Linked DNA regions of Arabidopsis thaliana. The protein of the gene in region 1 purifies or fractionates together with the protein of each later gene. This does not show direct contact. Each region holds a gene or a part of one and is shown in the gene's direction. Other genes may lie near its edges.

Region 1 (4,480 bases):
GTACGTACAAAGTGTTTGTTCTTTTTTTACTTTTCCAATTTTTTGGCTCTAATTTTATGAACAAATGCAAGTAGGTCATCATACAAACCCTAATTTTGCAGAACTGATCCAGCTTTGAAAAGAAAAATGTTGCCTAAGAATGCTATTGAGAAGATCCAAGCAAATGTGAGCAAGCCTTGCTTCTGGAAGTCTCTCTCTCCAGGACAAACTTGGAAATCTAAATCCATGGTAACTTCAATTATGACTCACTCCTCCTTTGATATTTACTCACTGTTCTTAGACTCTTTCTATTGAATTTGCTTTGTTACAAGTTTATAGCTTTGGATGTTGTTGCTAGAACAGTAAGATGTGATAATCCTTTCATGTTTAGTTTAGCCCTTTTATAGACAAGTTATTACAGAACTACCCGTTTGTTGTTGTTTGAAAAAGTTCAGATCTTTTCTTCTTTTAAGAAACTTTGGAGACATTCTAATGGCACAATGCCTCCTCTGCTTCTTGCTGCTTGGTCTTCATTTTGTTACTTATTGACCTGTTTTAGCTACCGTTATGGGTACTTTTACGTCGCAGGTTTCGTTTGCCCTTAGCTCATGTTTATGCTAGTGTTGGTTCTAGTCCTTTTCTCTGCATTTCTTGACCTACAATCCAATCTTTTAAGCTCGTGTTTTTGCTGCTTGTGTTTTTTCTGTAGAAAGTTATAACTTTTAGTCTCATGTTTCCTCTTTTGAATGTAAGTATTGTTTTGTTGATTTCTGGGTTTATTAAGAGGATAATTCCGGAAGACTTTGTGAGAAGAACGCGTGGTGCTTTTGAGCACAGAGTGGTGTTTAGTGTTCGTTGGGAAAACTCCTGGCAACTCTGGCTGGAGCGAGAGAAGAACGAGCTGTTTATGATAGAAGAAGATTGGAATGAGTTTGTAGACGACAATCATTTAGGTCCAAATGATAATCTGTTCATCAAACACGATGAGACGATGAATCTTGAAGTGCAAATCTTTAAGAATAATGGGGTTGAGATCATTGATGTACCTCTTGGAGTTGAACCCGAAACTGAACCATTTCATCCTACGCCCAAGAAACCTCACAAGGAGACAACCCCTGCCTCTTCCTTTGCCTCTGGCTCTGGCTGCTCTGGTAAGGCTATTCAGATCGATAGAATCATCAAACTCCAAACTATCATTTGTTCTCTATGCCAATGTTTGATTGGATTCTGTTTTGGTGGAATTCTCAGCAAATGGAGGGACAAATGGCCGAGGAAAACAACGTTCTAGTGATGTCAAAAACCCTGAGCGATACCTCTTGAATCCTGAAAACCCTTACTTTGTGCAAGCGGTGACAAAAAGGAACGACGTTCTGGTAATAATACAAGTGTTTACATTGTCAGCTTTTTATTCCATTTGTGGCCTAGAAAGCTAAAGCTTGTCTTTGTTTCCTGCTGTATGTGCAAGTATGTGAGCCGACCGGTGGTTCAGAGCTATCGCTTGAAGTTTGGTCCCGTTAAGTCCACCATTACCTATCTTCTTCCCGGGGAGAAAAAAGAGGAAGGCGAGAATAGAATCTATAACGGGAAACCTTGTTTCAGTGGCTGGTCGGTTCTATGTCGGAGGCACAATCTGAATATCGGAGACTCCGTGGTTTGTGAACTTGAACGCTCCGGTGGTGTGGTTACCGCTGTAAGAGTGCATTTCGTCAAGAAAGACTAGACCAATCCTCTCTAGTAACAACAATATGTTATTTACAACTTTCTGTAACAATGCTAAATGTGTCAATTATGTGTTAGTTTAACAAACTTGTCAATTCACTTGCAATCGAATCGATTCTAGAGTATGATGGGCCAGTTTCTAATATGGGCCATATCCGGCCCAATAATATTGTTTGACCATTTTATTATTTCCATACACAGTACACATTTGACACTTGTCACAGTGCTGTTGACTGTTGAGTCTCCTCTCTTTCTGAAAGCAGAGAGATTCGATTTGGAGAACAAGGGCTGAGAAGAGCAGACACAGCAGCGAGAGGAAGCTTCTTCGACTGCGACGGTGCGTGAATTTCATGCTCCGGCGACGTTACTTTTGACGCAATTACTTGCCTTTTACGCATTTACTTTGTTCTGACTTCTGACCTAAGTTTTTTTCCCCTTTGACCGTACAAATTTTGCTTCTTTCTTCGTTTTTCTCTGTGTCTCTCATTAGTCACCATTTTCGTGTTCTCTGCTTTGTAACACTTTCGGGTTTAGCTACTGAAAGTAAGAAAAGCGAGATAACGCATTAAAGGTTTAATTTTTATCCAGTTTTACTGTTTCACTGATTTCATTACATGCAAGTCATCTTCGTCTTTGTTTATGAACCCTAATTTTGCCGAATCCATCCAGCTTTTGAAGAGAACAAGATGTTGCCTAGGAATGCTACTGATAAGATACAAGGAAATGTGAGCAAGCCTTGCTTTTGGAAGTCTCTGTCTCCAGGACAAAACTGGAAATCTAAATCCATGGTAAAACAAAATTAGTCTCTCTTCTTTTCTAATCTTTCGAAAATGTAGCTCCTTTGATTTTGTACTCACTGTTATTTCCATTGAACTTCTTTGTTTGCTCTAAAGATCTATTGTTCGTTTGTTGTTCTTGTTCGAAAAAGCTTTTGATCTTTCAAGAAACATTTGAGGAGATTTTAATGGCACAATGATTCCTGCTTCTTGTTCTGCTTGACAAGCTCGTGTTCTGCTGATTGTATTTTAGCTTTTAGTCTCATGTTTCCTTCTTCTAATGTCAGTATCGTTTGTTGTTGTCAACTGTTATGATTTCTGTCTTTATGAAGAGGAGTTTTCCGGAAGAGTTTGTGAAAAGCACGCCCGGGGCTTTTGAGCACAGAGTTGTGTTCAGTGTTCGTTGGGGCAATTCTTGGCAACTCTGGCTGGAGCGAGAAGAAAAAGATCTGTTTATGATAGAAGAAGATTGGGATGAGTTTGTGGATGACAACCATTTAGGCCCAAATGATAACGTGTTCTTCAGACACGATGACAAGATGTTTCTTGAAGTGCAAATCTTTAAGAATGATGGGAACGAGATCATCGATGCACCTCCTGAAGTTGAACCTGAAACTGAACCATTTCATCCTACTACACCAAAAAATTCTCACAAGGAGACAACCACTGCCTCTGCCTCTGCTTCTGCTTCTGGTATGGCTATATTCAGAATGAAAGAATCGTTTTGATGCTCTTCATACTCAATACTACTCTTTTCTTTTCTCTCAATGCCAAAGTTTGCTTCTTTTTGTTTCTGTTTTGGCAGAATTTTCAGACAATTGGCGAGAGACACATGGTTGTGCTGATATCAAAAACCCTGAGCTGTACCTTCTAAACCCCAAAAACCCTTACTTTGTGAAAACGCTGACAAAAGGGAATGACGTTTTGGTAATAAGAGCAGTGTTTTCATCAGTTTTGATTCTAGTTTACGTTTGTTGCCTCTAAATCTAAGACTTATCTTTCTCTCTATTTCTCATGTACAATGTGCAACTAGTATGTGCCCAAAACAGTGATTAAGAAGTATGGCTTGAAGTTTGGTCCCCATTTGTCCCCCATGCATTACCTTCTTCCCGGAGATAAAATAAATGGCTCCACTAAGATCTATGGCGGTGGCAGTGCCCCTTGTTTCAATGGCTGGGTGGACCTATGTCGAAAGTACAATCTGAAAACCGGAGACTCTATGGTTTGTGAACTTGAACGCTCTGGAGAACTGGTTACTGCTGTTAGAGTGCACTTCATCAATAAAACATGAGATGAGTCCTCTCTAGTCTCTTTTCTTTAACATTCGTGTTTACCAAACTTACTATTGTAATGTTTATATGTGACCCTTATGTTGCTTTAACAAAACTTAAATGCTAAATTTCTTATGCTTCTGTTACTTCATTGGAAATGCTCGATTGTGATTCAGTCTTATATGCTCGTGAGAAGTAAAATATGCATACAACTTTATTGTAAGTTTTGTAACTCTTCCATAAAAATTAAAAGGCCTAGATACATAAGATATAGGCAACGTTTCTTTTGCCTTCTCATACAAGAAAATACAATATAAGCAAAGGCCCATCTGCCTATATAAAACCCTAACTCTCGTAAATAAAACTCTGTTTTTTTCACCTTCTCGTTTCAATAAAATCCAACACACACCAAAGACAGTTTAAGGAAAATAAAAGAAGACCACACGATGCATTTTCTTGTAATAGGATTGGTGATTCATCTATGGTTTACGAACGCTTATAAGCTTGACATCATCGATCACAGGCCCACACAATGACGAGAAATCATCGCTCCTCATGGCATAGAAAGTGCTGTAGAACATAATTCTTGATCGGGTCGAAACCGCCACAAATCGAATAGAAGCTCGTTTAAACCCTCCTGTGCCTTTCGACTCGTAAGGGACCTTAAGTGTATCTTTTCCTGCAAAAGCCTCAACCACCATTGATCCTTTGCAAGCATTGTTGGCGTCTCCAACC
Region 2 (5,756 bases), 6.1 Mb from region 1:
CGCAACAAGATTGATGGGTGTGAAAGTCCTTGTGCTTGACGAAGCTGATCATCTCTTGGACATGGGTTTCCGAAGGGACATTGAGAGGATAATTGCCGCTGTTCCTAAGCAGAGACAAACATTTTTATTTTCTGCCACCGTACCTGAAGAGGTTACTGTCACTTTCTAGTACAAAGGCTCTCATTTTTTGGGTTGGAATCTTGAACTGTGTTTTTTGGTGTCAAGGTCCGCCAAATATGCCATGTTGCTCTGAAACGGGATCATGAGTTCATCAATTGTGTCCAAGAGGGCTCTGGGGAGACACATCAAAAGGTAAAAGATTTCTCTTTAGCTTAATTTGAGTGAATGGCCTGCCATATGATTGGATGTTATCAGTTTCTTATGTTTGTTTTATCTCCAGGTCACACAAATGTACATGATTGCATCACTGGATAGACATTTTTCGCTTCTACATGTGCTTCTTAAAGAACACATCGCAGATAATGTGGACTATAAGGTAACATTATCTCTCTAGTGCCATTATGAATAACCAATGTCTGTATTTCTGAACTATCCCGATTTCGTTGCTGTTGTAGGTTATCATTTTCTGTACAACTGCTATGGTGACAAGATTGGTGGCTGATCTGCTTAGTCAGCTAAGCCTGAACGTCAGAGAGATCCATTCTAGAAAACCGCAGAGTTACAGAACCAGAGTTTCTGATGAGTTCCGCAAGTCCAAGGCTATTATCCTAGTCACATCTGATGTATCTGCTCGTGGTGTGGATTACCCTGATGTGTCATTGGTCGTACAGGTAACCATAGTTTTCTGACATGGAATTGTTCTGCGACTACAAATTTTATCTCTTTTGTTTAACTGAAGTTGTTTGCTTTTGCAGATGGGATTGCCATCAGACAGGGAGCAGTATATACATAGACTTGGCAGAACCGGGCGGAAAGGGAAGGAAGGGGAAGGAGTCTTATTGTTGGCACCATGGGAAGAGTACTTTATGTCATCTGTTAAAGACTTGCCCATCACCAAGTCTCCACTACCGCCAATAGACCCAGAGGCTGTGAAAAGGGTAAGCATTTTCATATAAGCGCACTCACATGAATTTGTGATTCTACTGAACTTGGCAAGCCTTTCTTAACTCATATTTGCTGGCAATCCAGAATGAGTAGGGAACTTGAAACTGAACCTGAATCTCATAACACAACTCTTTGAAGTTAAAAGCTATGATTTTTGAAGGGTGTGAGTATGAGTGAGTATTGCTGGGTATAATAAACTTGTTGAATTCAGGTGCAGAAAGGGCTGAGCCAAGTGGAAATGAAGAACAAGGAGGCGGCGTATCAGGCGTGGTTGGGTTACTACAAATCTCAGAAGATGATTGCAAGAGACACGACCAGACTGGTGGAGCTGGCCAATGAGTTTAGCCGCAGCATGGGACTTGACAGCCCACCAGCTATCCCCAAAAATGTTCTTGGCAAGATGGGTCTCAAAAACGTTCCTGGTCTTAGAACCAAGTAGATTTTCTTTTTTCCTAGTGATCTGCTTTGGTTTTAAAACTTTAATGTTTTGTAAGTGTAGACGTGTAGTCTCTTGTCATTCTTGCTACACTCTTAAGACTTCCTAACTAAAAAATCCTATAAAAGTTGCCTTCTTATAAAGGTCTTTTGTTTGTAATGGCTTGTTAACATGAGTATTTCGATTTTCACTAAAAAAACAAAAAAAGTATTAAGTTGGATTATACGTGTTTGAAGATTTAACAAAACTTTTTTCTGATATAAAACAACACGTTTCAAAGCAAAGGGAGCAACTACATGCCGTTTTGTATATTTGTTGACATTTTGGGCCACTCGCATCTGTACCCTTAAGCCCTAAATTGTGTTTCCTACAAAACCTTTTAAACCCTAAAATAACCGACGGCGGGAATTTGGTAGTTGCAGAGCCTTACAGTTAAAGGCATACGCTTCACCGTTCTCTTCCGTCTTTTCTCCACTCGTTGGCATGAATTCCGATGGACCCAAATCCGGTAAGAAGAGACGAGAGATTCGTGCTAAACTTGTGAAGAAGTTGACGAGTGACGAAGATGGCTCGGGAAAGCTAGTCAAGGACAACAATAAGAGTCTAAAGAGGGGAAGAGAAGGCAAATCTGATGTTGATGAGCCTCTTATTAAGAAACCAGCTTCTACTACGCCTCTAGTGACTCAAATTGCTAAAACTTCAGATTCTTATTTGTCAAAGACAAGGTACATTTTTTGCGTTTCTTTCGGAGATAGCTTCAGAGCTATTCTTAGTGGTGTTTGATTCAGATTTCTCTTTATGGTAAAATGGTTCTTACAGATTTGATCAGTTCCCACTGTCTCCCTTAACGTTAAAAGGAATTGAGGATGCTGGATTTAAGACAATGACTGTTGTTCAGGAGGCTACTCTTCCTCTCATTCTCCAAGGTGAACTTGCCTAAAAGGCAGAAACTTTTGCATCTTTCTTCATGATTCCTTATGTTTTGTCATGACTTAAACATTTTGAAGCTTGACTATTCCTCTATTAATTATTCTTCCTTGGTTTTCCAGGTAAAGATATCCTTGCGAAGGCCAAAACAGGCACTGGGAAAACAGTTGCATTTTTGGTGAGATACCCTTTTTGGGTTCATGTTGGTCATTTAGGATTACAATCAGTTTGATTAATTGGGGTTTGTTATTAATGTTGATGTTTCTTTTTCCAAGCTTCCATCAATTGAAGCTGTTATCAAAGCTCCTCCTGCAAGCCGTGATAATAGGCATCCCCCAATTATTGTGCTTGTGGTATGTCCTACTCGGGAACTTGCTTGTCAAGCTGCTGCAGAAGCAAACATCTTGCTCAAGTATCACCCATCTATTGGTGTTCAAGTTGTGATTGGAGGCACTAAGCTTCCTACGGAGCAAAGGCGCTTGCAAAAGAGTCCTTGCCAGGTAAATTTTCATTTGTATTAATATGTAAACTTATTTCTGAGCAAATCATGCATTTCCATTGAGCTGGACTTCTCAGATGAAACTTGTTATCTGACCAATAGAGTTGCATATATTTCTTTTCAAACTGAGTTGGTTATCCTTCGCTAGAACAATATGGACTCATGATTTGAATTTCTAAGAATATGAATTAAGATAGATTGTTTTTTAAAAAGAAATGGATTTCCCTGTCCAAGTTAGGATTGTTTTTCAGTCACAGGATATGTTCTTTGATCTAAGCCTCATTATGCATTTAGATTTTTTTGCATTATTTGTCTTCCCTGCAGTCAAAGTGGCTGCAGAGATGGTGATCTTTGTCTCTGTATATTTTTGAATAATAACATATTTTCACACTCTCAGATTCTCGTGGCTACACCCGGAAGGCTCAAAGACCATATCGACAACACTTCTGGATTTGCAACAAGGTTGATGGGTGTGAAAGTCCTTGTGCTTGATGAAGCTGATCATCTCTTGGACATGGGTTTCCGAAGGGAAATTGAGAGGATAATTGCTGCTGTTCCTAAGCAGAGACAAACATTTTTATTTTCCGCCACAGTATCTGATGAGGTAAGTGTCAGTTTCTTGCACAAAGGCTTTCACTTTTGGGTTGGAATCTTGAACTGTGTTTTTTTGCTATCAAGGTCCGCCAAATATGCCATGTTGCTCTGAAACGGGATCATGAATTCGTCAACTGTGTTCAAGAGGGTGCTGGGGAGACGCATCAAAAGGTAAAAGATTGCTTTTTAAGTTCATTTGAACCAATGGCCTGCCATATGATTGGATGCTAATGGTTTCTCATGTCTGTTTTATCTCCCAGGTTTCACAAATGTACATGATTGCATCATTAGATAGACATTTCTCGCTTCTATATGGTCTTCTGAAAAAACACATCACAGATAATGTGGGCTATAAGGTATATTGTTCCTCCAATGCCTTTGTTAATCACCACTGTAATTCTGGATTAACATGATCTCCTTGCTGTTGCAGGTTATTATTTTCTGTACAACTGCTATGGTTACAAGATTGGTGGCTGATCTGCTTGGTAAGCTAAGCCTTAACGTCAGAGAGATCCATTCTAGAAAACCGCAGAGTTACAGAACCAGAGTTTCTGATGAGTTCCGCAAGTCCAAGAGTATTATCCTTGTGACATCTGATGTATCTGCTCGTGGTGTTGATTACCCTGATGTGTCCTTAGTCGTACAGGTAAATCATGTAGTAGTTTTCAATCATGGAATTGAACAGTATCTACAAAGTTGATTGTTTTTTTTTACCGAAGTTGTTGTTGTGTGTATGTTGCTTTTGCAGATGGGATTGCCATCAGACAGGGAACAATATATACATAGACTTGGCAGAACTGGGCGGAAAGGTAAGGAAGGAGAAGGTGTACTATTGTTGGCACCGTGGGAAGAGTACTTTCTATCTTCTGTTAAGGACTTGCCCATCACAAAGTCTTCTTTACCGCCAATAGACCATGAGGCTGTGAAAAAGGTAAGATTTTTCAAATACTACTACTGTAAACTTAGCCTGAATTTGTGACTCTATTGAACTTAGCAAGCCTTTCGTAAATTCTATTCGCTAGCAAGTAGCAAACCAGAACAACCAGAATGTTATATAAACTGTATTGGAATATGTATGCAAAGGAATAAGATTTTCACATCTCACGAAACTAACCTCTTTTACGTTAGAAGCCAAATTTTTCTTAAGAGTATGTAACTCGAGTGAGCATTGATGGGTGTTGAAAACATGTTAAAATCAGGTGCAGAAAGGGCTTATCCAAGTGGAAATGACGAACAAGGAGGCGGCATATCAGGCATGGTTGGGTTACTACAAATCGCAGAAGAAGATTGCTAGAGACACGACCAGACTGGTGGAGTTAGCTAATGAGTTTAGCCGCAGTATGGGACTTAGCATCCCTCCGGCTATCCCTGTAAATATTCTTGGCAAGATGGGTCTCAAAAACGTTCCTGGTATTAGAGTCGCTCCAGGTTTTGACAAGAAACCTGCAAAGAGAAATTATCGTTCCCGCTAGATTTTCTCTTTCTTTGCCTAATGGTATTGTTTGTGTTGAACTTTATTGCTTTTTTGAAGTTTGGCATTTTGGTAAAAGTTACCTTCTTAAGAATTTCATTTGGTAATTTACTAATTTGTCAAGATCCGGTTTGTTTCGGAGCCCAAAAATCCGAAAATAAAAAATTCAGAAAAAATAGAAATTTCTTTGGTTAACTGATCGGTTCATCTCTTCCAAAAAATTATCTAATCGGTTCATCTTACCGAACCGAATTTGTTACCCAAAAAGAAAGAGTTCCGATTGGCTTTTTGGCTGAAAACTAAACCTGACTTGTAGTCCTTGGTTTGCTTCTGAATCATAGCTAGGCTGTTCAACATTGTAAATTCTGTCTTACAGCCCACAGGTGTGGGTGTAATTACCTGGATTTGAAAATGAGAACTGACTTTCTTCTCCGAGTAGTTGTATACTGTATAGATTCAAATGTCGAACTACCAAATTCATGTTTTGATTTTTTTAAAACAAAAAACAAGGGTACAACGATGGTCCTAAATGTTTATTTTGGAGCTAAAACAAAGATGACATGCCATCAAATTTATCAAACCGCACTGAAAACAAAAATAAGTCAAAAGGTTTTAGCCTAATTAATCTAAGTCTTCTGTAACAAAGCTTAGAAATATAGCCACCAACCAAAATCAGACATAGATGCAAATCTGCAATGAAACATTTTAGGAATAGTAATAAAACTTCTAATTTCCCCGGAAAAAATAAAAAATAAATGGTACCT

What was found. The genes of interacting proteins can lie anywhere in the genome.
Region 2: the proteins of AT5G25470 (region 1) and STRS2 fractionate together in Arabidopsis thaliana (co-fractionation; one large-scale study listed by BioGRID). This does not show direct contact.

Annotation. Positions count from the first base shown.
Region 1 is NC_003076.8:8,865,139-8,869,618, reverse strand, and holds AT5G25470 (AP2/B3-like transcriptional factor family protein), read left to right. Parts: upstream 1-1,894; 5' UTR 1,895-2,035; exon of another isoform or gene 2,036-2,269; intron 2,270-2,367; 5' UTR 2,368-2,384; coding exon 2,385-2,486; intron 2,487-2,806; coding exon 2,807-3,167; intron 3,168-3,279; coding exon 3,280-3,401; intron 3,402-3,507; coding exon 3,508-3,765; 3' UTR 3,766-3,968; downstream 3,969-4,480. Other genes in the region: AT5G25475 (AP2/B3-like transcriptional factor family protein), read left to right, coding at 127-228, 539-589, 689-1,130, 1,228-1,352, 1,445-1,699; DGR2 (transmembrane protein, putative (Protein of unknown function, DUF642)), read right to left, coding at 4,225-4,480.
Region 2 is NC_003076.8:2,792,556-2,798,311, forward strand, and holds STRS2 (DEA(D/H)-box RNA helicase family protein), read left to right. Parts: upstream 1-1,832; 5' UTR 1,833-1,984; coding exon 1,985-2,226; intron 2,227-2,320; coding exon 2,321-2,427; intron 2,428-2,550; coding exon 2,551-2,606; intron 2,607-2,703; coding exon 2,704-2,928; intron 2,929-3,324; coding exon 3,325-3,531; intron 3,532-3,605; coding exon 3,606-3,692; intron 3,693-3,781; coding exon 3,782-3,877; intron 3,878-3,951; coding exon 3,952-4,167; intron 4,168-4,269; coding exon 4,270-4,452; intron 4,453-4,720; coding exon 4,721-4,993; 3' UTR 4,994-5,205; downstream 5,206-5,756. Other genes in the region: PDE340 (P-loop containing nucleoside triphosphate hydrolases superfamily protein), read left to right, coding at 1-151, 226-312, 401-496, 576-791, 876-1,058, 1,277-1,504.